Linked DNA regions of Saccharomyces cerevisiae S288C. The gene in region 1 interacts genetically with each later gene. Each region holds a gene or a part of one and is shown on either strand. Other genes may lie near its edges.

Region 1 (6,626 bases):
TCGGTTTTTGATCTGGGATGCTTGTTCTGCAGTTTTATTCCAAATACTCGATACCTTTGCGGATCCAGAGGAGGACCACCAGTTTGAAATAGAAGCAATTGGGTCATGCAATGGGGTCTCCTCCTCCTCCTCTTCTTCTTCTTCTTCTTCCTCCTCTTCTTCTTCTTTCTCCTGCTGCTGTGGTTCCTTTTCCTTTCCGTGAGCGTCCTGCTCGGAATTTTTGTTTTCTTTTGATTCTTCTACTTTTTCGTCTTGTGCTTTATTATTAACTGATTCACTGGGAGCCTTCTTTTCAACCCCTTTCTTGTCAGTTAAGCTTAAGTTACTCTTCTCCAACTCTTCTAAGAATTCAAAGATATCATCGTCACCTTTCTTTCCATCATTCCCGGTCTTGCCCGCCACAGAATTAGAACCTCCCTTAACGCCTTCTTGGCTACCCTTTACGTCAGTATTAACCATTTTCCCGCCATTCTTTGCTTCTGGCAAAGAATCTAAAAATTCAAATACGTCTTCAGCCTCAGAGTTCTTATTTTCAGACATTTTGCCCTGGTAGTATGTATGTTTTTAATCGATTGAGTCTAGTTAACCTGTCCCTTGTTCTATTCTTCACCGTCTCGTCCAACTTCCATCAAAGAACCAGAAACCAGAAAATCGCCGGTTTCTTCCACGCGTCAATCCGTTTGGAATGATCTCATCGCAAAATTTTTTTTCGCTAAAATTTTCATAGAGAGTATCAATATTAATATATGGTTATAACTTATGGCGGCATTAGTCGATGAGGTGCTTGCCGAAGAGACTAGCACAGCCAACCCATAATGCCTTCTAAAAACTCCATCAACAGACCTAAGCTGACTTCAAATTTGCACCACAAGGTGCACTCTTTAAATAAGAAAAGAGCTCAAAGAGAAAGAGCTGGTCTCTTGAAGCCAGCTAGATCCAGCGTAAATTCGAAATCTGGGGAAATAAAATCAGTAGCGTTGGACCTATACTTCCAAAACAAGAAGAACGAAAGTCAGAATTCCACTGCTGTGACATTACAAAATGCTTCATCTTCTCCGGCCTCCATCACCACGAGGACACTTTCCAAAAAGAGAGCTAAGAAAATCGAGAGAAACTTAAAATATGCTACACAGAGAAAATTATTGGTTGACGCAAGCGCTAAGCTAGAAGACGAAATGGATATTGATCTAGATGGCGGTAAGAAAGTGAAAGAGAATGAAAAGAAGAGTTCTTTGACTTTGGTTAAGGAAGCCTTATGGAGTGTCATTGACGATACTGCATCCCAGGGATTGATCATCGAAAACGGACAAGGCACCACCCTGGGCGGCCCATTTTTCCCATGAGTTAGGCACTTACGTATCTTGTATAGTAGGAATGGCTCGGTTTATGTATATTAGGAGATCAAAACGAGAAAAAAATACCATATCGTATAGTATAGAGAGTATAAATATAAGAAATGCCGCATATGTACAACTAATCTAGCAAATCTCTAGAACGCAATTCCTTCGAGACTTCTTCTTTCATGAAGGAGATAACATCGTGCGGGTCAGCTGCAGTGAAAACACTGGTACCAGCGACAATAACGTTGGCACCGGCTTTGGCGGCTTTCGGGATGGTCTCCTTGCCCAAACCACCATCGACTTGGATATTCAAATGGGGGAACTTGGCTCTCAAAGTTTCCACTTTTGGCATCATGTCTTCCATGAATTTTTGGCCTCCAAACCCAGGTTCCACAGTCATAACAAGAGCCATATCCAAATGAGGAGCTAGTTCAAATAAAACGTCAACAGAAGTACCAGGTTTGATGGCGCATGCAGCTTTGATGCCCTTAGACTTAATCAACTTAACTAAATGCAAAGGGTCTTGTGTGGCCTCGTAGTGGAACGTAAATTGGTCAGCACCACATTTAGCAAAATCGTCGACCCATTTTTCAGGATTTTCAACCATCATGTGACAATCGAAGAACGCAGTGGGCTTCTTTTCTGTGTTGCTAGCATCGCCAGGGCGTGGCACAGAACGACGTAGGGAGGTAACAATTGGTTGGCCCAGAGTAATGTTTGGAACAAAATGGCCGTCCATGACATCGATATGTAACCAATCTGCGCCGGCGTTGATGACCTTATGACATTCGCAACCCAAGTTGGCGAAGTCAGAAGCAAGGATACTGGGAGCTATAATTGGTTTGACCATTTTTTCTTGTGTGTTTACCTCGCTCTTGGAATTAGCAAATGGCCTTCTTGCATGAAATTGTATCGAGTTTGCTTTATTTTTCTTTTTACGGGCGGATTCTTTCTATTCTGGCTTTCCTATAACAGAGATCATGAAAGAAGTTCCAGCTTACGGATCAAGAAAGTACCTATACATATACAAAAATCTGATTACTTTCCCAGCTCGACTTGGATAGCTGTTCTTGTTTTCTCTTGGCGACACATTTTTTGTTTCTGAAGCCACGTCCTGCTTTATAAGAGGACATTTAAAGTTGCAGGACTTGAATGCAATTACCGGAAGAAGCAACCAACCGGCATGGTTCAGCATACAATACACATTTGATTAGAAAAGCAGAGAATAAATAGACATGATACCTCTCTTTTTATCCTCTGCAGCGTATTATTGTTTATTCCACGCAGGCATCGGTCGTTGGCTGTTGTTATGTCTCAGATAAGCGCGTTTGTTATGCGAAAAAAAAAAACTTTACAGAGGCTTTGTTTATATATAGAAAGACCACGAAAAAAACAGTGATGGCTTCATGCTTTTCAGTTTCATTATTGGCACGAGTAGCAGTCGTTGAGCCCATCAGAGTGCAACTTTGGTTAAATGTCGTAAATTGTATGATTGAATCATCCATGCACCAATGTCCTCCACGGGATCGCCACTTTTTTTCTTCATCACGCCCCATTTTGTTGATCCGACGTTCTGTATCAACTGTATACAGATTCGTTGCTTCTCGCACCACACAGGTTTTACGTGCGGCCAAGACCGTTGTCAAGTGGTTCATTATTGTCGACCCACTGATAAATTCTATTCTAATCAATTATCTCATTGATAGGCTCTGCACTCTTGGGCATGCTGTATTGCGAGTGAAAAAGCGCAAGACCGAGGAGAGACAACCCTGTTCTCCCATTATACAACACACACACGTTAAGAGACGCAAACGGCCTCGTCTGAGGATCGTAGCCATCAAGAGGAAGCGGAGGCGTCGAAGACCACATCGCATCGAGCGTCCACTCTCAAATATGTACCCAATAATGGAAATCCAGATGGTGGCTGTTCCACTTGCTCTTCCCAGTCCAACTGCACTGGTGCATTATCAGCAGCAGCAACAGCAGCTCCCGCAACATCATCCCTGGTACGACCTCTCGCTTTCTGAAGAAGCCCTCTCGACCTGCTGTTGTAGTTGACCTATAACTGAAAATTCACACCCGCATTACCCAGCGCGCCCGCACGTGCTCTTTATGGAAACTATAATGAATAACGACCAAAGAACATCTTTTTTTCTCTCTCACACAAATAAAGCTTTTCATGTTTATAGATATATAGCACATACTTTTACTAAGTTTTCTAGATTGATTACGACTCTTCCAGTTGCACATTTTTTCATAGCGAAAGTACAAGAGTAGGAAGAGTGGCACAATGGCGGTTCAACAAAGAAAGAAGAAAGAGGGTAGAAAGTCCGATAAAAATGCCCCATCGGTCCCACAAGTAGATGCATCATTAGACAAACCACTTGATATTGATGCTCCTCCTACTATTTACAGTGTTAATTTGAAACCAGAATATGGTACAGCTGCATTGAATTTGTCCGCGGATTTCATCAGACAAGAACAGGCATTGGCTAATAAGTATTTGTTCTTCCATCCCGTCATCCTTGTTGTTCTAACCATTGGGCTGCTTATTTACTTGACGCCAAGAATTGTCTTTCCGATAAGGAATACAGGATCCGTTGCTGGATGGTTCTACCAGCTGGCTCGTATTAATAAGAAGGTCGTCCTCAGCGGTTTAGTGTTCACCGCAATTGGTGCATCTTTCTTGTTCACCCTCCTCTCACGTGTATCTGACTCGTATTTCAAGTCGAAGATCAACCAACTTGTTGGTTCTAAAGGTGAGAAAGTTTTCGGCATCAATTTGAATGATTTGGTGGCAAGACATGAAACAAAGGATCCAGTGGTGAACAATACGCATATCATCGTTTATAGAGAAACGCCCATTGCATTGATTTCGTTAGCCCCTAACATGACATTAAGTACTGATGAAAATTTAGTCATGAGTGTTACTACTGTGGGTTGTCGTCGTGTATATGTAAAAAGTGGCATTATCGAAGATTTGATTGATTGGGCTATGCTACACTCCAAAAATATTAGAAGCAGCGGCAAATACGGGGAGACCATGAAACTCTTGATTGATGTCTACTCATTCGATAGCACGCTTAAGGAAATTTTGAAGAAAAAAGGGTTCACTTATATTCAAAGCATTAGAGTCTCTGAAAATCGACTACTAGGCGGTTTGTTCGGTGTGAAGAAGGAATTATGGGGTTTGCAATTCCATTTTAAAGCCGAACACAAGGACTAGGATACTGTTATTTTTATAGCCAAAAAATGAAAAAAAACAGCATGGCATCTTGTTAGTTCTGTTGCAACTCGCAGGAAGTAACAAAATAAACACTATAATATTTCCATATATTTATATATATGTATACAAACACCTTGTTAACAAAAAAAAAATAAACGAACTAAAGAAAACCGTAATGCAGAGTACACCTTGAAGAGAGAGAAAAGAAAATCTTTGAATCCATAGCATAATAGCGATCAACGAAACTTTTTAAGAAGTAAAATGAACTGAAAGGAGAAAAATATAACGGAATCCCAATGTATAATAATAAATAGAGAGCGGAAGAAAAAGAATAATAAGGGGAATTGAGGGTATCAAAATACAAGACATTCTTTTACCGAAAAGAAGAATGACTTAATAGAAAACAAATTCAGCAGATCCAGATAAAACAGAAACTGTGCAACCATCGGAACCATCTCCGGTGAAAGAGCCATCTTCATACGCACAGCTGCCCTGAACGTTAGCGCCATCGGATGCAACTATTTTAACGTTAAAGTTGGCAGCTTGGTTACTGTTGGGGTTTGGAATCAACGACAAGTATGTTTCTCCATTAGTGGAACCAGCACCTAACACTAGTGGAGCCCAGTTGCCGACATCCGAACCAGAAGTACCCCAAATGCACCCATCTTCTGCAGATACACCGGCGTTGTTAATATAGTACTGAGCAGAAGTCTTTTTACCCTGCCATTGATAATAAGTGTCTTCATCAACGACTGAAATTGGTTGTGAATCTCCACCATCAACCACTGTGGGAATCACCATGTTTTCTGATCCTGGGTAATCCGTCCTACATAGAGCAATGGAGTCAGACTTTTTGTTAATGGCCTTAGCAGATGTTTCATCCGTAGAACATAAATCGCTGGTATCAGTGTTGGTACGGTACAAGTAACCATTTTTACAGTAAAGACCACCAACAGATTTACCATCGCTTGGTTGGTCAGAAGGCCATTGAGTCTTTGACATTCCAGGTTCACATGCATAAGAACAGTAGTAGCCATCCTTACATTCGGACGAAGTGTTGGCATCCATGTCCATGACAGAGGCCCATCCACCAAATCCTAGCCAGTCCAAGGAAACTATACCGTTTACAGAAGGGAAGTCCGAACATTTGACAGTACCATCTTGGAATCCGCCATCACGCTTCTGTTCAGAGGTATCCTTCTCAGATGAGGACAATGTAGTGGTAGTAGCAGCAGATTCTACAGTACTAGTAGCGGCATTGGAATCTATGTATTGAGTGACAGTGACAACCGCTGGTTTTTCATCTTTGTGATGATCTTCATGGTGACTGTCCGCTGGAGCAGGTGCAGGGGCAGAAAATGCGACAGAAGAAAGGGAAGACAATATTAAAGCTGCGGAAATTTTCATTATGTGTTAGAGAGAGACGAGTTAAGTATGTGCGACTATACTAGTATTATAATATTAAAGGAAAGTAAGGTACCGTCTATGAGGAGACTGTTAGTTGGATATCAGTAATGAGACGAAAAAGCTCGAAATGAATGGATATATTCTTTTTGCTACTGGCAACTGTTGAATATTTAATGTTAAAACAAACTAACTGAGGTATATTCGTATCTGTATGTACACATATACTATATACAGGAAAAGATAAGCAAGAGAGAGGATATCAACTACGAGAGCGATCGATTATATATCAAAAGCTGTCCGCTTTGCCACCCATAATCGGCGCTTAGTTTCGGAGTTCAATCATAATTCTACCACCTTACACTCAACTTACTCTTTAACTCCTATAGTATAATATCGCCACTGACCCCATATTAAAAAAATTTTTTTGCTCGATCTTCTATCCTCTTTAGGTTAATTGTCGCTGTTATTGTCTAGATTTTTTCTCGGAGATGGCGCATCTATTTGCCGTCAAAAGATCCTCTCATACCATATTAAGTAAATTGCCTCCATTTCTTTTTCCTCGGGCAGAGAAACTCGCAGGCAACTTGCTCTCGAAGTGGTCACGTGCGGGTCTAGGCCTGCATAATCGGCCCTCACAGAGGGATCCCGTTACC
Region 2 (8,994 bases), on another chromosome or scaffold:
TCAGTTTTGCATTTCAATATATTTCACATTGATCTCTTACATACATGTACTTATAAAACAAAAACAAAAAGTAGAATTCGATCGTCGGGGGGTCATTACATATTTATTTTAAATGATGGGCATGGTTATATATATTTAGACGTAATAAACAATTGAAAATTGGGGCCAAATTGGTAAATATCTCTATGTATTTCAATCAAAAAAGTATAATCGTATAACTTAAGGGTAAAAAAAGTTGAGCGATGTCATATTATACTTGTGCTAGCTTTTAAATTTTTCATTATCTTCAGTTTTATCGTGGTAAAGTGCCAGCCGAAACTGCCAAAAAAGATTATGGCAAGAAAATCTCACGCTGTCAGGGAAATAAAAATCTGATACAGTTTCACACTCTCAGAAGGATTAACTTTAACTATTACCTAACACCAATATCTGAAGAGAATGGATGAAATTCTTGCCAAAGCAGGTTCACAAGCCGTTACATTTGCTATAAAATCCGGAATATCGATAGCATCCACATATGCGCTAAAGACAATAACGAACTTTGTCGTCCAGATTCCTAAGGATGATGCTAGAAGAATAGATCAACTGAAATTTAAACTGGAAAGCCGCATGGCTATTGTATCCAGTGCAATTGACCTAATAAAGCTGGTAGCGGCGAGGGGAAACACGAATTTGCAAATCACTCTGAGGTTAACCAAGGATTTAAAAGAAGAGATTGATAGGTTTGATGAGAAGATCAACGAAATGACGCAGAAAGTTGAGGGTTCCAGGAGCGCAAAAACACAGAATGAAGCTATTAAAGCGGTAGAAAACTATATAAAGGACTTGCTATTGAGGATCGAAGAAATCACTCCATTCATTAATCTTTCTTTAACCACTTCTGGTGCCAACTTGAACAGCGCACTCCCATATCAACTTTCTCCTGGTTTATTATTAAAAGCCTCCGATTTCGTTAGCGAGAACAATAGAAAGTATGAAAAGGCAATGAAGAGTAATGAGAAAGGAACAGGTGACAAGGAGATTCTAAAAGTTCAAGTGGGGCCTACATTTGAGGTTACACTATTCTCTATTTTCTATAACCTAACTTCAGAAAACAATGGGCAATCAGGAATTGTTTGGAAAGAGGATATGAAACGTGCAAAAGCAAGGATATATAGATTGAACTCTACAGGCAGAAAGTATGATTATTTTATGAAAATAGAACAAGACTTCAATGACGGTAGATATCATGAGGATGATGACAAAGAAGACACACCACAGGAACTTGCCATAGATCTGAACCATATTAAGAAGCTGTTTTTCAGTGTTTCCGGTAAGCTTCTCCGATTAGAAGAACAGGATTCTCCAGTGTTGGTATTGAAGATTGACCGGAGCGATGACAAAGAAAATGAGAGCAGTGAAGGAGACAAGGGATTACTCGATGACATTACTTGGTATGCGGTAAGCGGATATGAAGCGATAGAGGAAGATGAAGAGGAAGATGAAGAGGAGGACGAAGAGGAAGGAAAAGACGGAGAAGAACGAAAGGAAGAAGAAGAAGAAGAAAATAAATTGGAGGACAAGGATTCGTCGATCACACTACTGGAGTACATCATTCGGCTGACGTCCTTACAAAGTAACGATCAGAAAAGTATATTGGAAGTGAGTGATGAAAGGTTATCTATATATTTGAACGATGAAAATACGAACTCCAGAAAGGATAGAATAAGCAATTCGACAATTGAAGAGACAGAAAAAAAGTTAAAAAACCTAAAACTTTAGGATGGTTACGTATCCTGTGCAGCCTTGGACAAATTTTATAATTGTATATATCTATGTATATGTATACGAATGGAAAAATTTATCCGAATCTCGGCCCGACTGCCAGCTTGCCGGGAGAACAAACAACCGCCAATATATGTATATGTATATTTATATAGATGTCCAGATGCATTATTGTGAATGTGAGTTATGCGAAGATACTTGTTTGTATAGCTCGTTCAACTCATTGATGGAGAATGGAATGTCAATATCGTTTAGTGCTGTGTTCGTAGTTGTATATGCGCTTCCTGTTTCATTGATACTAACAGGTTCCATAGATATACTAGGGCTTTGCTCAAGCGGATCGAGGGAAGCCAAATCAAGATTGTCAATGCTGTCGGCCTTAATTTCTCCGTTTTGCAGAGGTGGCTTCAAACTCGGCAATGTGGTTGTCATGTCTACATCCGACGAGCGACCATTTAGGCCCAAAAGAACGTCCAGATCTGCAATACCGAGACCATTGACATGCGCTGCTTCATCATTTGCCCTTCTGTGGCATGACCCTCCCTTTGATTTCCGGCTGCTTTTCCTCTTGGTATGACATTTACAAGGTTCACCCTCATCACAACGACATCGTGTTTCATCTTCCTTGCTGCCAACAGCTGGCCGTCGTGCAGAGGCACACATGCACCCACCGGATGGGTTGAAGTTCTTGGTTCTTCTCAGCTCTTTACAATGGCCACATGTGGTCGATGGTCTTCCCTTGCGTCTGATCATCTGTAGCGGACCATCAGTGTGAGTACACTGCGCCGCCCTGTGACCCCTGATACACGTTTCACAGGCATATTTGACCCCGTTAATTACGACCATTCTGTGAATACACTGATTATCAGTCCTCTTTTATCAAGCCGCCGTCTAATAAATTACATCGCCATGGCTACTGCTATTTCGTCCACAGCTTAATACTTACCGAACCAGGCCTTGCGGCTCTTACCCTGCGTGCCCGCGCACCCTGGCGACTTCGCCTCGTTTTGGCGATTTTCTTAGCAAATATTCTTTCACGATCGTAGTGGTGGAAGGTGGGTGAAAAGAGTTGCGTTCCTAGCAAGGATCGGTTGGTATCAATTGCACGTTCAGCTCATCCCTAGATAACCACTTAACAGCAAAGCCGATCGTTAAACTTTTGTATTCTACATTCTAGTTGCATTTTTTTTTTTTTTCATTTTGTTACATCAAGACAAGATTCTCTATTTAAAGAAGTACTTTTTTTGTTAACAGTGTGGACCCTACCTATCGTTATATCGAGATCTTGTTCCCTAGGCCATCGTACACTATAGCCCTTCCTTCAAGCACTTAATAGAAAAACCTCTTTTTCTACACCATCATAATAGTGTTTGCTCGCCCCGTTCTTTCCATTCCCATTTATAACAATACTAGTAACTATAATAATATCCTTACGACTGGGCAAGACAAGACGAAGCAAGGCCAGCACAGACGTAAGCTTAAGTGTAAGTAAAAGATAAGATAATTATGAGTGACAATCCATTTAATGCGAGTCTTCTTGACGAGGACTCAAACCGTGAGAGAGAAATACTAGATGCCACAGCAGAGGCCCTTTCGAAACCAAGCCCTTCTTTAGAGTATTGTACTTTATCCGTGGACGAAGCTCTAGAAAAACTGGACACTGACAAAAACGGTGGTTTACGATCATCTAACGAGGCCAACAATAGGAGATCACTTTATGGCCCCAATGAAATAACCGTAGAAGATGATGAAAGTCTTTTCAAGAAGTTCTTGTCAAATTTCATTGAGGATCGAATGATTCTACTTTTAATAGGATCCGCAGTGGTCTCTCTTTTTATGGGTAACATTGATGATGCTGTTAGTATCACACTGGCCATTTTCATAGTTGTCACTGTCGGTTTTGTCCAAGAATATAGGTCTGAAAAATCTCTAGAAGCGTTGAATAAATTGGTTCCTGCTGAATGTCACTTAATGAGATGTGGTCAAGAGAGTCATGTACTGGCTTCCACCTTGGTTCCTGGTGATTTAGTGCACTTCAGAATAGGTGACAGAATCCCCGCAGACATTAGAATTATTGAAGCAATCGATTTATCCATCGATGAAAGTAATTTAACTGGTGAAAATGAACCGGTACATAAAACCTCACAAACGATCGAAAAATCTTCCTTTAACGATCAGCCTAATTCAATTGTACCGATTTCTGAGAGATCTTGTATAGCTTATATGGGTACATTAGTCAAGGAAGGTCATGGTAAGGGTATCGTCGTAGGAACAGGTACAAACACATCCTTTGGTGCCGTTTTTGAAATGATGAATAATATTGAAAAACCGAAGACTCCATTGCAGTTAACAATGGACAAATTGGGAAAGGACTTGTCACTGGTTAGCTTCATAGTTATTGGTATGATTTGTTTAGTTGGTATCATACAAGGTAGATCTTGGTTAGAAATGTTCCAAATATCGGTATCCTTAGCGGTTGCTGCTATTCCAGAAGGGTTACCAATTATTGTCACTGTTACTTTGGCATTGGGTGTTCTGAGAATGGCCAAGCGTAAAGCCATCGTGAGAAGGTTACCAAGTGTCGAAACTTTAGGCTCTGTCAACGTTATCTGCTCCGACAAAACAGGTACACTAACCTCAAACCACATGACCGTATCTAAACTTTGGTGCTTGGACAGTATGTCCAATAAGCTAAACGTCCTCTCATTAGACAAAAATAAGAAGACTAAAAATTCTAATGGAAATTTGAAAAACTATTTGACTGAAGACGTTAGGGAAACTCTAACTATCGGTAATCTCTGTAATAATGCATCTTTCTCTCAAGAACATGCCATATTTCTGGGAAATCCTACTGATGTAGCTCTTTTAGAGCAATTGGCAAACTTTGAAATGCCTGATATCAGAAACACCGTTCAAAAAGTTCAGGAACTTCCATTTAACTCGAAAAGAAAATTAATGGCAACCAAGATTCTCAACCCTGTCGACAATAAGTGTACAGTTTATGTTAAAGGTGCATTTGAAAGAATTCTTGAGTACTCCACAAGTTATTTGAAATCAAAGGGTAAAAAAACTGAAAAGTTGACTGAAGCCCAAAAAGCTACGATAAATGAGTGCGCAAATTCTATGGCATCTGAAGGTTTGCGTGTCTTTGGATTTGCTAAACTAACTTTGTCTGATTCATCAACTCCTCTAACCGAAGACCTAATCAAAGATTTAACCTTTACTGGTTTAATCGGTATGAATGACCCACCAAGACCGAACGTTAAATTTGCCATCGAACAATTACTACAAGGTGGTGTCCATATTATTATGATCACTGGTGATTCTGAGAATACCGCAGTAAACATTGCAAAACAAATTGGTATTCCAGTTATTGATCCAAAGCTTTCCGTTTTATCCGGTGATAAATTAGATGAAATGTCAGATGATCAACTGGCCAATGTCATCGACCACGTTAATATTTTTGCTCGTGCTACGCCTGAGCATAAGTTAAACATTGTTCGTGCATTAAGAAAGAGGGGTGATGTGGTAGCAATGACTGGTGATGGTGTTAACGACGCTCCTGCGTTGAAACTTTCAGATATTGGTGTTTCTATGGGTAGAATTGGTACAGATGTAGCCAAAGAAGCCTCAGATATGGTCTTAACTGATGATGACTTCAGTACTATTTTAACTGCCATTGAAGAGGGTAAAGGTATCTTTAATAATATTCAGAATTTCCTGACTTTTCAATTGTCTACTTCTGTTGCCGCACTATCATTAGTTGCACTATCTACAGCGTTTAAACTACCCAATCCACTGAACGCAATGCAAATTCTTTGGATAAATATTTTAATGGATGGGCCACCAGCTCAATCCTTAGGTGTGGAACCTGTTGATCATGAAGTTATGAAAAAACCTCCAAGAAAACGTACCGATAAAATTTTGACCCATGATGTAATGAAACGTTTACTAACCACCGCGGCCTGTATCATCGTTGGGACAGTTTACATTTTTGTTAAAGAGATGGCCGAAGATGGTAAAGTAACTGCTAGAGATACTACTATGACATTTACTTGTTTTGTTTTTTTTGATATGTTTAATGCTTTGGCCTGCAGACATAACACAAAGTCAATCTTCGAAATCGGCTTTTTCACGAACAAAATGTTCAACTACGCCGTTGGACTGTCTCTGTTAGGTCAAATGTGCGCTATATATATACCATTTTTCCAAAGTATCTTTAAAACTGAGAAACTTGGTATCTCTGATATACTATTGTTATTGCTCATCAGCAGTAGCGTTTTCATCGTTGATGAATTGAGAAAATTGTGGACGAGGAAAAAGAATGAAGAAGACTCAACGTATTTCTCAAATGTTTGATATGTCACATTTTGTGCTTTTATCGTTTTTCCTTCCTTCCCTTTATCTTTCATGAGGACGCCCAACCCTATTGAGGTAAATGTACTAATTAATGGGAACATATGTAGATGTATATATGTACATATATTTACAACGGATACTAAGATAAACATGTATGGGCGACTTTTCGTATATACAAAGCAATATAAAATTTTATTCTTTCCTTCTTTTTCCGGACTAGATATAAAATCTCCGTAATCAGTGGTTATGATTTTCAAAAGTTAATCACAGTTTTATTTAAAACTGTATACAATTATTTGCAGCCGCCTTTCGCAATCTGTTCATAACAGCTAATCCTTCTCCTTCCTCATTTATACCTTCGACAAATATTAGGTCTACTTTATCATTTTCATCCACTTTTCTTAAAGCTGCAAACAAGTTAGTCTGTATTTCTTCACCAGATTGGCCAAGTCTTTCGATGATGAAAGTTTTCGAAGAAAAATCGGGTTCATTAAAGATCTTAGATTGTAAGTCGGAATCACGTAATTTTAGGGAAGTTAAAATCGCAATTTTTTTTATATTACTGTTGGCTTTTAATTCCGTTTCGATTAACCTCTTTAATCTTTCCATCCTATCAACGCCCTTAAGAATGCCATCGCCTTCGCAATGAGGAACTAGTAAAACAACTTTAGCTGAAGGGGAATAGTGTCTATACTTCATACCAGGCGTTCTTACCTTTTCGCCCTTTTCAACTGTTTTCTTATTCTCAACTTTACAAAGAGACCAAGCTTCACCACCCAATTTAACAATTTCTTCATATGTAAAACCGCCAGGTCGCAGTAGCGTAGGAGGATTACATAACCCATCAACAACAGTACTTTCTACACCAACCTTGCACGCTCCGCCATCAAGAATTATGGGAATTTTATCCTTTAGATCATGATAAACATGAGACGCTAAAGTAGGAGATGGCCTAGTAGACGCATTCGCTGAAGGAGCAGCTATTGGTGTATCGCTCAGGGCAATCAGTGCTCTAGCCACTGGATTAGCGGGTATGCGTACCGCAAACGTAGGCTGATCTGCGGTCGTTAACTTTGATAATGCACTATGCTCTGAAGATGGAACTGGCAAAAGAATTGTTAATGGGCCAGGCCAAAGGCTTGAAATTAATGGGCGATAGATTGAGGGTATGTTATCAAACAAGGATGTACCTGATAGATGCGGTTGATTAAAGACCTTTCTGTTAAGTTGATCAATGGATGAAACATGTGTAATCAAAGGATTGTCACTAGGCCTATTTTTGGCCCTGTATATACTAAGCACTGAATTATCATTTAAAGCAGAACCTCCAAGACCATAAACAGTTTCGGTTGGAAAAGCCACAGTCTCATCTGTATCTCTTATTATCCTCGCCGCTTCAACTAGCGCTGCTTCCGTTTCAGGATCTGTTATCGTTGGTAAGGAACCATCTATATGCGCATCAGGGGAGAAAATGATTGATAGCGGGTTAACTTTTAAGATCTTGGTATCAAACAGTGCTTTCGATGTCATTGCCAAAAAATGTCGTCCAAGGTACATACAATTCTAAAAATGGAATAATAAACAGGACTACCATTAAAAATGGAAACAGGTTTAGTGGTAAGTTAACAGCGCAGAAGAAAAAAAAAATTTGAGGAGAAGAATAAAGCTCTCGCTTCAAATATTATCAGCTTCAATAGGTATGTGCGATGAGGTTACTATCTTCTGGGTGAAAAAATAGTAAGGCTAGCGTAGATAATGATTTGAAATTTCTCAAAAAAATATTTTTGATACATATAATAATTTTGAAGCCTGAATTTTTCAACGAAATAGCCTTGTTGGCGCAATCGGTAGCGCGTATGACTCTTAATCATAAGGTTAGGGGTTCGAGCCCCCTACAGGGCTATCTTTTTTAGGCTCAAATCAAAAAAATGTCTAATATATTAAATTCTACTTCCTTTTTATATCTCAAAGAAGAAGGCATTTAACCCCATTCATATGGTTTACACTTGTGTTGAGATTTGTTGCTTGCGCTTCTTTTATCCTTTTAAACCGCTTATTTATCCTTTCCAACGATAAGGCTCAAATGACATCAATGTTCTCTTTTGTGTCACAAGAAATATAAATAACAACAATAAAACATTAGGTATTTAGTTGGAAGTCAAACTTGAAACTCTTCCCGGTTATGTTGTATTGGCAAGGAAAGAGCTGAATTGGTTGAGTGATGGGAGCTGGCACTCTTTTAAATGGATTAGAAAAGGAAAACTTTCCAAATAACATCCATTCAGATTTGCCTGCGTATCCTAACATGGATTCTCAAGAAGATGGCAATACTAGTAAGGAAAGTAAAAGAAATAGTCCAGTAAAACAGAAGTCCCAAAAAGATGAAGAAAAGTCATCTAAAATGGGGACTGCAAGCAACATATTCCATGAAAATAAAGATATACACGAAAGATCTGAACACACGGACGATTTTAATGATGGCTTAAAACTGGCTCCGGACTCTAGTCCAAGCTTGAAAGAGTGTCAATTTAAAAATTGGGAAAGTTTTTGGTGTAATACAGAAGGTTACAAAACTAAACACATGCAGCCCTTTCATTTTACAAGCGGATTAGAAGAAATAAAGGAACCGGTCATGGAATTGAATATTTCCACTTCACCATACAAGGGACAGAGGCCAAATTCAGCTCCAACCGAGTATTCAGCTGCCACAACAGCGTTTACCAAAACACAATTAGAGGTGAGTTTTCTAAAAACCAACTTGCTTACATACATTAAAAAAGAGATTGACATTTGCTTGTCAAGTGTTCCATTTTTTGACGACGCAGTTCAAATGCAAAAGAAATTCTTGGAATACAGAGATATTGACTTGGA
Region 3 (8,711 bases), on another chromosome or scaffold:
TATTTTTTCTGCATTATACAGTTTTTTCCGATTTTAAACGACTTTATTTAAGTGTCGTGTAAATATGTCACATTTTATTTTTGTACGTATTCACATGTCCTGGCGTGCGGCCATTGCTGAAAATCGCAAAACCCACAGAGAAATAAACATCGCGAAAAAGTCAATGAAAAATTGGAAAATATTTTTCATTTCACTATTATCCACAAGCAATTTTGTACAAAGTGAAAAGGTTGAACTAATTATCTTCGTCTAGAAGCCATGAATTCACTCGTTACTCAATATGCTGCTCCGTTGTTCGAGCGTTATCCCCAACTTCATGACTATTTACCAACTTTGGAGCGACCATTTTTTAATATTTCGTTGTGGGAACATTTCGATGATGTCGTCACTCGTGTAACTAACGGTAGATTTGTTCCAAGCGAATTCCAATTCATTGCAGGTGAATTACCATTAAGCACTTTGCCCCCTGTGCTATACGCCATCACTGCCTATTACGTTATTATTTTTGGTGGCAGGTTTTTGTTAAGTAAGTCGAAACCATTTAAATTAAATGGCCTTTTCCAATTGCATAATTTGGTTTTAACTTCACTTTCATTGACGCTTTTATTGCTTATGGTTGAACAATTAGTGCCAATTATTGTTCAGCACGGGTTATACTTCGCTATCTGTAATATTGGTGCTTGGACTCAACCGCTCGTTACATTATATTACATGAATTACATTGTCAAGTTTATTGAATTTATAGACACCTTTTTCTTGGTGCTAAAACATAAAAAATTGACATTTTTGCATACTTATCACCATGGCGCTACTGCCTTATTATGTTACACCCAATTGATGGGCACCACATCTATTTCTTGGGTCCCTATTTCATTGAACCTTGGTGTTCACGTGGTTATGTATTGGTACTATTTCTTGGCTGCCAGAGGCATCAGGGTCTGGTGGAAGGAATGGGTTACCAGATTTCAAATTATCCAATTTGTTTTGGATATCGGTTTCATATATTTTGCTGTCTACCAAAAAGCAGTTCACTTGTATTTCCCAATTTTGCCACATTGTGGTGACTGTGTGGGTTCAACAACTGCCACCTTTGCAGGTTGTGCCATTATTTCTTCATATTTGGTACTATTTATTTCATTTTACATTAACGTTTATAAACGTAAAGGCACCAAAACCAGTAGAGTGGTAAAGCGTGCCCACGGCGGTGTTGCCGCAAAGGTTAATGAGTATGTTAACGTTGACTTGAAAAACGTTCCTACTCCATCTCCATCACCAAAACCTCAACACAGAAGAAAAAGGTAAGTGTAAAATCTTTGAAAGAATTTAAGTATTCAACTTTCGTATATTCGTTTTTTCTTAGTGGATCTATTGTTACTATTATCACTATTATTATATTGTAAAAGACCGGATGGTTTTGTTATATATTACATACACATGTTATCGTTGAAAAAAGTTTTCCGTTTCCTTTCGACAGTCATCAGATAATTTTATCCGAGTCTTTTATATGTTAAATCTTGTTGACAAATCGTCCGCTCTAACCCTAGATAACAACAATGATCTTTTTATCATTTCTGGCGTTATTTTAGCGCCTCCTCCCACTAATGTTAATTGCTTATAGTTACCTGAAGGAGCAGCGAGGATGGAGATCGTACTGTGTATACTTGTTTCTTCCGCTTCAGTATCTAGGTCTGCTATTAGCACAGTGTTCAATTTATCCATATCAATGTCCACTTCCTCTTCTTCAGAGTTATCAGAGTTTTGTAATTGGCATTCGGGGTCTAACTCCACTATCCCATAATTTGAAGCAAATGCAATATTCTTTGCGTTTATCATTAACGGTACTGACTTAGTTTGGTCGCAAATAATTTCATACGTTTCTCTTATGGTGGCACTTCTTCCTCTTGTTCTTATAGTCATTCTTAAATCGGACGCACGCTCATCTATAAATGCTCTAGGTAACTTTACGCTCTGTAAAGCGTACATCAAAGAATTCCAACACAAATCGAAGACTGGACCAGTGCGACTCAAGACTACAATTTTCGCATACAAAACGTATGACCATTTTCTTTTCATTTTCAGGTTTGTTTCATTCAGCGTATCATCTTCTAATTCATCGGGATACAAGACGGAAAACGTACCGTCTTCATTCGCACTACGAACACCAGCTTTTACCTTCAAGGCTTTTTTAGGCAATATCCTAGAGTGCAATATGGAATCGTGTAGTTTTTGTGATATAGTCATTTCTTCATCGGTGCAAGCGCCCACTCTACCTCTTTCAACTTCCACCACCGGATAGACAGAAGCATAATTTGCAATTATGTCCTCCTCTTTGGTCACTTCGAACAATTCTTCCTCACCGAAATCATCCAAATCTTTAATCGCGGCGCTAGTTTCTTCTATTATTCCACCCGTAATAGAAGTTATGACTATGGTTTTCCCACTTTTCAAAACATTTGAGCCTAAAATGTTGTTTTTAGTGTCTATATTACCAGCATCCGCATAACGCGATAAAGTATTATTTTCTATAGCAACATCTCTAAATTCTTCATATTTTCTTAGACATGGCCTGATTCCTAGGGATAAGTGTCTTTGTAAAGACAATTCTGGAGATATTCTCGCAAGAACTTCAGGTGGAAAAGTAATTGGGTGTATCTCAATAGTTTCTAACGTGGTACTTTCAGCCATTTCCAATATTAGATGCCTGTGAAACTACTGTCAAACTTATTTGTGTAACAATACTCATCGTCTAATTTGTCCATTATTGTTATATACTCTGTCATAAAAAAAGAAAGAAAAATCTTATACTTTCGTCGACTGTGATTTGAAAATCTCTCCAGATCAAACGGGAATAAAAGGGTTTATATCCGAAGGTGGCCAGAACAATCATGAAGCAAATAGGATAAAAATAGCCAATAAGATGTTTGTTGTCTTTCATCCCAAAGTTCCAACAGCATATTTCAAAGATGGGTATTACAGTAATAGGTTCTCTAAACTATGATTTGGACACATTTACGGATAGATTACCTAACGCTGGAGAAACTTTCAGGGCTAACCACTTCGAAACACATGCTGGTGGTAAGGGATTGAACCAAGCTGCGGCCATTGGTAAATTAAAAAACCCCAGCAGCAGATATAGTGTTCGAATGATTGGTAATGTTGGAAATGATACATTTGGTAAACAATTGAAGGACACTTTATCCGATTGCGGAGTCGATATCACTCACGTCGGTACTTACGAAGGCATTAATACGGGTACCGCTACCATACTAATTGAAGAGAAAGCTGGTGGCCAAAATAGGATATTGATTGTAGAAGGTGCTAACAGCAAGACTATTTATGACCCGAAACAGTTGTGTGAAATTTTTCCAGAGGGCAAGGAGGAAGAAGAGTATGTTGTTTTTCAACACGAAATTCCTGATCCTCTTTCCATTATTAAATGGATACATGCGAACAGGCCGAATTTTCAGATCGTATATAACCCCTCACCTTTCAAGGCCATGCCTAAGAAAGATTGGGAGTTGGTAGACCTTTTGGTCGTTAATGAAATTGAGGGTCTTCAAATCGTGGAAAGTGTATTTGATAATGAACTTGTTGAAGAAATAAGGGAGAAGATAAAGGACGACTTTTTAGGAGAATATCGTAAAATTTGTGAGCTTTTGTATGAAAAACTCATGAATCGAAAGAAAAGAGGAATTGTGGTTATGACTTTGGGTTCGAGAGGGGTGCTTTTCTGTTCGCACGAAAGCCCTGAAGTACAATTCCTTCCGGCTATTCAAAATGTTTCGGTTGTTGATACTACAGGAGCTGGAGATACTTTCCTGGGCGGTTTGGTTACTCAATTGTATCAAGGAGAGACCTTGTCTACGGCTATAAAGTTCTCTACATTAGCTAGTTCATTGACCATTCAAAGAAAAGGTGCTGCTGAAAGCATGCCACTGTATAAAGATGTTCAGAAAGATGCATAAAATCTACTGCAATTTTTTACTTTTAGTTTGTTAAATTTTAGTTTTCGTCATATATATAAAGTTTAAAAAGGTACAAAGAATGCAGTAATAAGAAATGTAATTACATGAGGGCAGTTTAAGTGCTACCTTTTAAGACGGAAGAACTAATACCATAACCGAGAGTAATTACGCAGACAAACGCTAACAACGAAGCAGGAACACCTCTGGAGATAAAAGCGCCTACAGTTAGCCATCTATTACCCTTTTTATCGGTCATAGAAATAGCAGTAACGTTTGGAAATCCAGATGAAGCCAACCCCATACCGCATGAGGCTAACAAGGCGCAACCGAACACAAGAATTGGAGCTGCCTTTGGATCGGATAATTTGTCACCAACTTCTTGCACCAAGGGAATAATGATGATTGCTGACACAGTATGTGAGACAAAAGTGCCCACAACTAACATTAAAATACCGAAAATACATAAGATAGCAAAAACACCATCGTTCTGAATTTTCTTTTGTAATGCTCTTGCAATAGTTACCAACAAGCCTGAAGATGAAACTGCCTTACCAAGGGCTATACCACCCATAGCAAGAACAACAATTGACCAAGGGAATGTGTTGAAATCCTTTGTTGATAGTAGACCTGTACCAAAAAACAGGACTATCGGTATTACTGCAATTTCACCGGACGATCCAAAAGCACTTTCTATTTGTGACTCTACACACCATAGAAGAATAGTAGCAATAGTTACAATGATGATAAAATATTGCTTTATAGTAAATCTGGTCCTTATTGGTTTAAATTTTTCCAGTTTAGTTTTGCCTATTTTAAAGGTGAGTATCATCAAGGCCCAGGAGCACAGCATCGATAGAATACCTGTAGGCAGAGCGACAGCAAAAAATTGCCCCCAGCCGATTCCATAAGGTTTTAAGTACTGCATGGAGATGATATTCTGTGGCGAAGAAATAGGTGAAGCCATACCACCAATATCTGCCGAAAGTGCAACACCCATGACTAATGCCTTAGCAAACGGTGAAGTGTAGTCCAGCGGATCTAGTAAGGGTGTTAATAGAGAATATGTCAATACTGGGGAGGCAACGTTGGAAATCCACATCGAAAGAAAGAATACAACACTCATTGCCATTAAAAGGACATTTCTTGGCTTGGTACCTGCAAGGGCCAATAACCACGATGCCAAAACTTTCGCAACGTTATATTGCGACAAGGCTTCACCCAATGTGAAACCTGCTAATAAAATCATAATTGTTGACGACCACATTGTACCTAAGATTTCTGTAGAGGCAGCTGCTGCTCCCATTACCTTACCGTCATCGTCTTTTAGTACCCTAAAAAGGACAGTTAGAAGGGGAACCAATAAACCTGTGATGTGTAATGGAATGGCTTCACTAGCCCATAAGAAAGCACAGCATTCTACCAATGCCATACACCGGTGTTCGACAGGGTCATTGAAAGTTTTAACACCCAACAAAACACCTGTGACAATGATAATGAAGCCTATTTTCATTGCTCTTTTCCCAAAAAATAGCTTAGGAACTGCCAAATTTTCAATTTTAGTAAACTTCAAATTAATTGGCTTAGGCAATGGATACTTGAAATATTCAATTTGAAGCTTTTCTTGCATAAGTTTCTCAGCTTCATCTTCAATAGTTATTATATCGTTATTTTGCGAAGAGAGGCCCAACATGTCTTTCCATGTGTTGCTTCTTTCCCAAACAATGTGGTCGTGCAGGTACGACTTTAACTCTTGCTTGCATGAATCTACGTTCCCAGGCTGACCCATGAGAACAGCATAAAATTCAATAAGTTGTGCAATTTTACTGTTTAAACTGCTTAAAGTTTCATGCTGGAAGATGTAGGTGTCTTTGAAAAATTCTTCACTTTCTATTAATTCTTGCCTAGTGTTCATGTGCAATACTTTATCAGACTTCTTAGTAATTTTACTGAAACCCATTCTGTTCAATTCGATAAAAGATTTCAACTGGCAAAGGTCTATGTAAAGATTTATTATTGTCTGTTTTAATAATGACTTTTTCTGAGATTTAATGTTAAATTGCGAATAATTCAAGAGGGCGGTATTGTCGGTAGTGTCAGCAAACACGTCAACGTCATCATCTTCATCCATTTCTTCTTCGCTGTAATCAAACCTATTTCTCAATTCACTGTCGATGTTTGAAGAGTGTATTTCAAATGGGTTATTAGATGAATGTGTCTCTGATGTACCAGAAATAATTTCTCTTAAAGGAGGCAATGCTTGAATTTCAGGATTGAAAGTTTCATTCAATCTTGTTACAATGCCTTCCTTCTCCAAATCATTAATCAAGTGGTCAAATCTTTCATAGAACTTAGCTTCCATTCTTTTGTAGAAATCATCTACTTTCAATTTCTCGTCGCTCAGGTTAGTTACGAATGTATCATAAGAACTGAAGAGCGTCTTTCCCTCGCTACTCACAGATGAGCTGCGTGATTCAAAGAATTTCTTACGTATAAAATTCTTATTGAAAGAGGTGGTTTTCCCTTGAGGAGATAACTCGTCTAACTCAATTGTTTCCTCGTTAATATTGTTCCCATCTATGGCCTTTTCGTCGGAGTCTCCCCTTTTGCTTCCTGAAGGTGTTTTAGAACCAAAGAGCTTACGCTTGAGTTTATGTGTAAATCTTCTTTTCGATGAAGATGGTTCTCCTGCAGCTATGTTGCTTTCTATATCAGCGATTGGACCTGGAGTCTGAGAGTCAGCGTCATCGTTTAAGTCACCGGTTGGCGTTTCTTGTTTCAATTCATCTGTCTGTAATGTGTAGATCAAATTTTTCAATTCGTTATAATCTAGGTAATGATTCTGCCATTCAGGGACAGCGTTGTATTTGAGAAAGTGTGAGAATCTCATTTCGAGGCACAATAATAGCCGCCTTTACCGTAGTTTTGCTGCACCTTTATCTGAGAGCTGACTGCTTTTTTGGTGTGAAACACTGTTTTCTGGTAATAATTTTTCAATGCATCGGATTACTTTTCCCACGTGCGAAATCATCAATTAATTAGATTGAAAAAAGGGTAAGGGAAAATAAGAAAGAGGCGGTAGCCTAAAGATACGGTAATTGAAACGTTTCCTATGCACAATCTTAAACCTTTTTAGGTAATTGATTAAGTTGACTGTAATATCTGTAAAAGATTACATCTAATTTACGTCTGGTTTCTTATCAAAAAATATTATCTACTGTAGTTATGCAAGTATTCTTAATTTTCAGTACTAAACATGAATATTAATTATTTGTGAGCGTACAAGAAGCAAAAGGAAGTCATCTTTCTTTGAACAGTTCTGTTTTTAGGTAAGCCTTGGAACCTTAGCTATACTGACTTGATACGCCCTGTCTTTGTTGTCGTTATATAAAGTGTGCACCTTTATCATAGCCCCTAATAAGCTTCTTGCAGTAGTATTTGAACAGTGTATATCTTCATATTGCTTTTGTTGTAAATATTGCGCAAAAGCGACTATCTTTGTGATTTGGTTGAACTTTTGCATATTCACGTTATTACCATCTTTAGTGAATGTATCGTTTCCGTCTCTTATGAAGGTAATGTCCCTGATAAGCAGTGATGTAAAAGGTACACAAGGAAGCTGACTGTGGAAAATATGTTTAATTGTTCTTCTATAAACGTTGTAGTTGTTGTTTGGATGTACGACGACTTTTAGGCGCTGAAAAAGGTGGTCTGATTTAACATCTATCGGGAGAGATAGTCTTTCTATTGAATGATTTTGCAATGATGTAATGATTGAAGCAAGTGAGTTTAAGTTTCGTAAGTATAGACAAGACAGTGCAACTTGTAACCAGTAGGAAATGGTGTGCGTTTGCTGCAAAGTTGTCTCAAGAACGTAGGACGATAACTGGTTGGAAAGCGTAAACACGGAGTCAATTGTTGTATCGTTGTGTTTGAAATGTCTTGTGAATTCTATTGTTTCAATATCCAAGTAAAGAGAAGATTCTAAGAGAGTCAATGTCTTTGCAAGTGACCATGGAGATACGTTTAGAGCGAAGGCTTCGACTTCTAGAAGTTCACCCTGTTTCCATTGGAAAAGTAAATCACTGAGGTCAGTTGCACCGCACAATTCATCATTTGCGTTCGTTTTGTCTATCTCGTATTGGAGAAATAAGTTTTCGTAGTCCAGGGGCGGTTTATTTTCTTCGATTTCCTTATCAGTTAGACCAATGTAATGAATCTTCAATTGCCTCGTTCTTTTTTTGTTTATAAACAGCTGAACTATGTCTGCAAACAGTTCTTGGTATTCATAATATTCAGCCAAGTGACTGTACCAAAAATTGAGGATATCTTTTAATGTTGTCTCACTATCTTGCCAATAAGACTCTACCCAGATTTGTATTAGACGAGGGACGGAGTGATTTTTGTGTTTGTTTTTATTAATTGTGGGATAGGATAGTAGCAACTCTTGGAGGAGAGCATTGTCAGTTGTCCAGTCTCTGAAGTTAAGTAGTAAGTTTGCGGAGTCAAAGGGGGATGGCTTTTGCCATTTGTGAGAGTTGTGCGGCAGCATCTTATTCAAATAGAGCTGTATTCTGAAGACCTCTTGTAGAACATCATCCATACTAAAAAGTAAATCGTCCTGTCCCATTACGAGCTGTATTAGTGCTGTGACCCTCTGTATATTTACGTTGCCATGAAGAAGGTAATGGGCGATATTTTGATACAATTCCTGAGTTGCATGTTGGATTGAGTTTACGAAGGGTCGCC
Region 4 (6,252 bases), on another chromosome or scaffold:
GAGGATCAACCAATATAACTTCGAAGTACTTGTAAGTAGAGTCTTGGTTGACCCAGTAGGAGTTCAAGACTCTCAAGTTAGCAGCACGACGGCCAACTCTTTCTTCAGCGGTAGCTCTCAAGGATCTTTGGTATTTCAATTCATTGACACCTTGGTTAGTTGGCTTACCGTAAGTAGCACCCTTTGGAACAGGTCTCTTTCTGTTACCGCGTCTAACCCTGACACGGTAGATAACGAAACCTTGCTTGGCTTTGTAGCCTAGTCTCCTAGCCTTGTCTGGTCTAGTTGGTCTAGCGGCTCTGTGAATGACATTTTTTTGTCTGTATTCCCAGACCCTGACTCTTTGCAAGAATCTCAAAACATCAGATTGCTTCTTTCTTTCTAATTCTTCTAAATATTTGTAGGCTCCCATTGCTTGTGTGGTAGGTAATTTGTGACTGTCTTTACGGTAGCTTTCGCCGATTACTATTGCCGCTAACTTCTCAAGAGTGAATGAAATTATCAATGGCTCCGGTTAATTGAAAACGTGGAAAAGTATCGAAAGGAACAAGAAAGATGTTTTCCGGGTAACGACATATGGAGCATCAAGACAGATACATCTCTACTGACTACATGTTTGTATCATCATTTGAAGAGATTGGAGAAGTATTCTAGCAATCGGTGCAAAAAATAAGAGTAAAGAAAAAAGACGTTTGTTTCCTTAAAGGAGCTGGAGGAGCCTGTTTTGGATAGCGGCGTAGTCGCTTTATTAATTTGGTTATACTTTAAACGCAAAGATGGCAGTACGAAACCAGCAATGCAGTGATTATATATTCCCTACTAAGGAAAGTTGCGCATCCAATGGGAAACATTTTCCTGATCTGTACCTTTGGCAACCTGAATATGCGGTTGGCTGGCAAATAAGGTAGCGTGGAGGCGGTGTTTTTGCCACAAACCAGTACGCCCAATCTATCCCTGCGAGCCACCGTAATGATGCAAATTGCAGTAAAGCAGCGCTTAGCCTCCAGCCGAAATTTACTTCCGTCGAATGCACGTTGGCCAGAATGTCTCTCGTCCCCCTTGTGCTGCGCAAATAACAACGCGTTGGTGCGTTCTGGAACGCGAAGATTGCGAAACACGCCTCCGAACTGACGTAGCATAGAGTCTTTCACAGTATTGCCTAATGCGGAAATCACATTGCCATATTGGTGAAAAATACAATGGCTAGTTTGATCTATTTTTGGGTTATGGTGTCTCGAGCGTAAAAAGTGAAAAAAAAGTATATAAACGATCTGAATTTAAGGCAGAATTCTGTTTGCCGCTCTCAGAATGTACTGTTAATTACTGAGGTCTCCATCAAACACAAACCCCAACCTAATCGCAAATAACCTGAATAAAAATGGCCAGCAGTACTTCCACTTCCGCTTCCGCTTCCTCCTCCATCAAAACTAACAGTGCCTTAGTTTCCAACAATGTCGTTGCCGCCTCTTCCGTCTCTGCTACTTCTACTGCTAGTTCCAGTGCCGCTAAGAACACTACTTCCAGTTCAAAGAACGCTGCTCCAGGCATGGTTGCAAACCCTGTTTCCTCGAAGTACGGTATCATCATGGCCGCATTTGCTGCTGTTTCTTTCGTCCTAGGCACCGGTATTTAAGAAGTTTCTAAAAGCCTTTTTTTTTCCTTCTGCTTATTGTACTATCAAAGGGAACGATTGATTAACAGAAAAATTACATAAAAATCATATCATAATGGACTCGCGGTTGACGCCTAGTTAAACCAATGAAGAGGTGGGCGAACTTGTGGGAGTTATATATATTTAGGCCAATTGGGCCATTGCATGTTTCCTATAATATATTTTAATATAAAAATTTATTTATTAATACAGCAACTCATTAGATTAATCGAGTGGTGGTAAGGCTTTTTTTGCTCGCAATGCGAGCACGTGACAGAAAGTGAGAATGAACGTCTGACATTGCTAGTGTCACGTTCAGAAAACGAGAAGACGGGTAAAACAAAAATATTGATGATTGTTGGTTAGCAATATCAAATTCATTGAAGGAGGTCACAACCGCGAGAGAAAGTAAGATGTCATGTTTTTGAATATGAACCTGGAGCTCGCATATAACTCTTTCCAGTGGCACCTTTAGATTTATTTTAACTCTGAAATGTAGGTTTTTTTTTTTTTAGACAAGTCACGATAAGTAGTTGTTGTTAGCGACTTTATTCACAGCATTTTTTTATGTAGCATTTGTAGAAATAGGGGAATTATATCGGAGTACTCAAGAAACTAACGGGCTTCTGAGTAAAGGGGCTTCCCGATGTAATGGCATCCAAGGTACTTATCTAACTGATTTTTGATTGGAAGAAACATTTAGAATGCAACCTCAATTGTGGGCAATTACGACCAATGACAGCCAAATCCAGTAAGGTTTCAAAGGGATAATTTACTGAGAAAACAGATTTACTATTCTGGAGGCAGGAGTGATATATTCTTATTCTTCCTATCCATGGGAATAACGATGCACTTTTTTATGGGTAAGGTGTGCTCCCAGTTTTTCTTACCAAGAAGTGTGCAATTGGTACGGTAATATCGTATTTGTTTGCACTGATGTACCCACGCTTTAGCCATTTAAGTTATTACGAATCTACTCTGTCTATTTTTTTTTTACCAACTCCCTACCCAGAGGGAAAATGCGTATGCAATCTAAAATACTTTATTTCCCATTCCGTGCCTTAGGCAAACACAAATGGATTTTGGCTGCATACCGAGGGGTCTAGGTGGTGATGAGGTCGCTACAACCCAGGATGGTTATCTCGTTTCTTCGAATTTCCGCAGCAAAGAGGACCCTTATTGCAGGGATGGAACCTTTTCTGCACAAAGCAAAATCCTCAGGATGTTTCTCTCCTCTGTCTTTCTTTGCCGAGCTCCATCGTGCTAGCGCATCGGACAGGAAGCAGTGAAATACAAGAAAAGTATACAAGCAGTATTCCTGCTCAAGAACCCAGTTTTCAGTTATAGTTTCCACTCCTTTCAATAGATGGGAAACTATATATCCATTAACTAAAATGGCCAGTCAGACTATCTCTTCTCCTCACTAGTGCCTAATCTCTGGTGTCGCCACTCCTGCTGCTGCTAATTATAAGGGCAAAGTCAGACCATCACTTACATTGAGGTGAATATTAAAACCAGTGAAGGTTCTGTTTTTCTCGGGAGTATTTCCGGCAGTAACACCGTTACTTATACCAAAGAGAATTTTTCTGTTGGTATGATTACTGACCCTGTCTGCTCGAAGCACGGTATCATCATTTACCGTTGTTTCTTTCGTCCTAGATATCGGTGTCTCAGAAACTCCAATTGAAGATGTACAGGTGATTAATTACGTCTTTTTATCAATCTATTTACCTATATATTTCAATTTTGATTTTTATTTGGCGAGTGACATGTGAAAACTTTGCCTATGAACCTGAATAGCGCATTCATATTTTAAGAACATGGTAGGGTATAGCAGATGTTCTTTAATTTTCTTTGACTGCGTTTACCCGGCGTTTTTTGCTTGACTGAAAATCAAATGAAGAAAAATAGAGATGGTCTTTTCTTTTTGTCATATCCAAGAACACGTCCATCTAATTGATTAGTGCCAAAAATCGCAGGGATATAACTTCGAAAATTTCTCAAAATGGCCAATTTTTTTGTTAGACTGTGGGAAAGTGTATTTGAACCAGGGACCTCCCCCCAGCTGATCATCGCCACACACGTATCTTTTGTTGCACTACTACTGACCCTCATCTGGCTCATCTATGCCACAAACGGGAATATCCACTTCTATGCTCTTTTCTGTATATCACTTTTACTATGGATTACCGTTATCTGGTTTATAAACGAATTATCACACGTCAAATTGAAGGATAATGATGAGCTGGATAAAGATGCCAATAAAAAGGACGACAGTGCCATCAAGGAAGACAGCGAAGACAAGCAAGAAAGCGGGAAATCCACTAGTACTGCCAGACGGACTCAAGCACAATCTAGGTCAAGAAAAGCATAGACAGATACATAATTGACTACATAATTATCTCTGTTATTAGTATATCACAGAGCTTCCGGGTAAATGTCCGCAATTGTAAATTTTTTTGTCCGCTTCAGGGTCTCCCCTGATATTTTTTTTTTTTCAAAAATTCCTTTTTTTTAAATCAAATTTTGGGCTCAATTATGGACAAATGAAGCACATGCAAAGAGTTAACGCGTGCGACTGAATAGAACAACTCTTTCAGCATCGCAAACCCTTCAAATTGTGAATAAATAGGCATTTCAAGTAACTGTGTCAGCAGCACATTGCATAGGAATTCTGATTTTTTGTTTTAGTGACTGCCCTCCTAATTTTTTTTTTTTTAGTTTACGGCTATAGCTAAATTTGGAGCTTTCTTTCATTAATTTTCACCGAGCTATTAATAACCCTACAAAAAGAGCAGAGAGGTACAGCCTGATCCGATAAAGCAGTGGGATAAAAAGTACTCAAAGACTATTTATAAAAAGTTCAAAATGGATGCAGGTTTATCGACCATGGCAACAAGAAACGGTCAGTCTTCTGCTAGAGTTAAATTGAGAAATAACCTCTTGAATAATGATATAGGAAATATTGACATTAGGGATGAAACACCTATTTCAAGGAACGGGAATGACAGCAATATTAACATCCAGCCTTCTTCCGTGCCGCAGCAGCAGCAGCAGCAGCAGCAATACTACCGTAATGGCATGAATGAGGCTCCAATACAAGCGCCACTTCAACAACGTCAAATTCCCATGCAGAATTATTCACAACAGCAACGCCAGCAACAACAGTATAATTTTGAGTATTCCAATCCACATATGAATGAGATTCCCCTCATGCAGCATAACTTCACCAAACCATCACTAAGCAATAATCGCGATAATGTTAATGGTAAGAAAGCTTCCTCATTTACCCAGAGCTCATTTTCCAATTTTTTCAAACATAAGCATCAATTTGGGAAGTCAAAGAAAAACACTAAGGGGACAGGAGGTGGTGGAGATGGTGATGATGACGATGAGGTTATCTTGGATGATTCTGCAAACTCCGACCTAACATTCAATGACATTCAGACCTTCGGTCACAAGGGCGGTGACAAATATGGATATGGTGGTGATTCCACTCCTATCATTCCAACATTGGTGACTAAAGACCGCGGCAATATGAGTAATACTGAGTATAGGAAGTACATTACTAATCAAAGGAAAACCGCAATGAATGCCATGGCTAAACAAACTAAAAATGGTACATTAGCCTCGTTGCCTCCGAGAGCAATGTCTTTGCAAAGTTTCCCGAATGGTAATCCTTTAATGCAAGCACCCACTCCTCATCCTAGATTTCAACCGAATAAAATGGTGAGCGCTAATTATTCGAGATCAAATTCGTTGATGAGTGGACCTCCCGGACAATTTCGACAGCCGCAGCAACAAAGAATGCTACCGATGAACAACTACAACAATCACCCAGGTCAATTCCAGAATACCCCACCAGTAATGCCCTCTGGACAACAGCCACCTCAGCAACCACGTACTCTGTCATTAACTAATGGCCCAAGATATTCACCCCAAAATCCTCGGCCATTCGCAGGTCATCAGCAGATATCACAAAGACAACAACAACAACAACAACAACTTCAACTTCATCCAATGTCTGAAGGCTATCGGACAATGTCTCTACAAAGTCAGAACGTTCCCCAAGGGTTTAATCCATGGTCACCAAATGACAACGATCGTAAAGCTGTGTCCATGAAACAGCCAATCAGTCAATCGTCAATTTCCTCAAAGAATAATTCAGCTTATTCAATACCGAACGTACAAAACAACTCCCTGACTACATTCTCTCCGTCATCTCCTACTGATGCTACAGCAATGCCTAACTCTACAAAACAAGGATCTTCACCACTAAAAAAACAAGTGAACATTGATCAACCTATTGAAAACAAGGGAAAACTGAATGTTTTGCAATTATCCACTCCTCAACAAAACGAGTTAAAGGAAAAAGAAAGGAAGCTAGCTGAAATGGAAAAATCTTTACGTGAGAGAGAAGCACTAGTAGAAGAAAAAGAAAAGGAAAGAGCTGAGAAAAATACTGAAGCAAATGAAGAGGAGGAAATTTCACATGAATCAGACGATTTAAATTTAAGACCTGCGAGTGCGCTAGAGACTGGTTTAAAAGATCTTAAATTGGAAAGTGAAAGTGCAGTCGCCAATAGAGCGTCCTTGTCGAC

What was found.
Region 2: mutations in PHO86 (region 1) and PMR1 together harm fitness more than expected from each alone (negative genetic interaction), as found in Saccharomyces cerevisiae (4 studies listed by BioGRID).
Region 3: of PHO86 (region 1) and PHO87, changing one enhances a phenotype caused by changing the other (phenotypic enhancement), as found in Saccharomyces cerevisiae (4 studies listed by BioGRID, with this or other methods).
Region 4: mutations in PHO86 (region 1) and PKR1 together harm fitness more than expected from each alone (negative genetic interaction), as found in Saccharomyces cerevisiae (3 studies listed by BioGRID).

The regions. Positions count from the first base shown.
Region 1 is NC_001142.9:188,901-195,526, forward strand, and holds PHO86 (Pho86p), read left to right. Parts: upstream 1-3,630; coding exon 3,631-4,566; downstream 4,567-6,626. Other genes in the region: DUF5427 domain-containing protein MTC1, read right to left, coding at 1-540; ALB1 (Alb1p), read left to right, coding at 816-1,343; ribulose-phosphate 3-epimerase RPE1, read right to left, coding at 1,474-2,190; YJL118W (uncharacterized protein), read left to right, coding at 2,739-3,398; SUN family protein NCA3, read right to left, coding at 4,960-5,973.
Region 2 is NC_001139.9:184,745-193,738, reverse strand, and holds PMR1 (Ca(2+)/Mn(2+)-transporting P-type ATPase PMR1), read left to right. Parts: upstream 1-3,270; coding exon 3,271-6,123; downstream 6,124-8,994. Other genes in the region: DNA-dependent ATPase RAD54, read left to right, coding at 1-32; YRB30 (Yrb30p), read left to right, coding at 439-1,761; CUP2 (Cup2p), read right to left, coding at 1,933-2,610; HUR1 (Hur1p), read right to left, coding at 5,943-6,275; SUA5 (threonylcarbamoyladenylate synthase), read right to left, coding at 6,400-7,680; SPO74 (Spo74p), read left to right, coding at 8,345-8,994. UniProt on the Saccharomyces cerevisiae protein: This magnesium-dependent enzyme catalyzes the hydrolysis of ATP coupled with the transport of calcium. Has a role in the secretory pathway.
Region 3 is NC_001135.5:190,334-199,044, forward strand, and holds PHO87 (SPX domain-containing inorganic phosphate transporter), read right to left. Parts: upstream 6,853-8,711; coding exon 4,081-6,852; downstream 1-4,080. Other genes in the region: fatty acid elongase ELO2, read left to right, coding at 259-1,302; exosome non-catalytic core subunit RRP43, read right to left, coding at 1,501-2,685; RBK1 (putative ribokinase), read left to right, coding at 2,964-3,965; Ras family guanine nucleotide exchange factor BUD5, read right to left, coding at 7,288-8,711. UniProt on the Saccharomyces cerevisiae protein: Involved in the uptake of inorganic phosphate.
Region 4 is NC_001145.3:509,937-516,188, forward strand, and holds PKR1 (Pkr1p), read left to right. Parts: upstream 1-3,656; coding exon 3,657-4,025; downstream 4,026-6,252. Other genes in the region: 60S ribosomal protein eL15 RPL15B, read right to left, coding at 1-412; YMR122C (uncharacterized protein), read right to left, coding at 765-1,139; NCW1 (Ncw1p), read left to right, coding at 1,379-1,633; EPO1 (Epo1p), read left to right, coding at 4,520-6,252. UniProt on the Saccharomyces cerevisiae protein: Functions together with the other V-type ATPase assembly factors in the endoplasmic reticulum to efficiently assemble the V-type ATPase membrane sector V(0).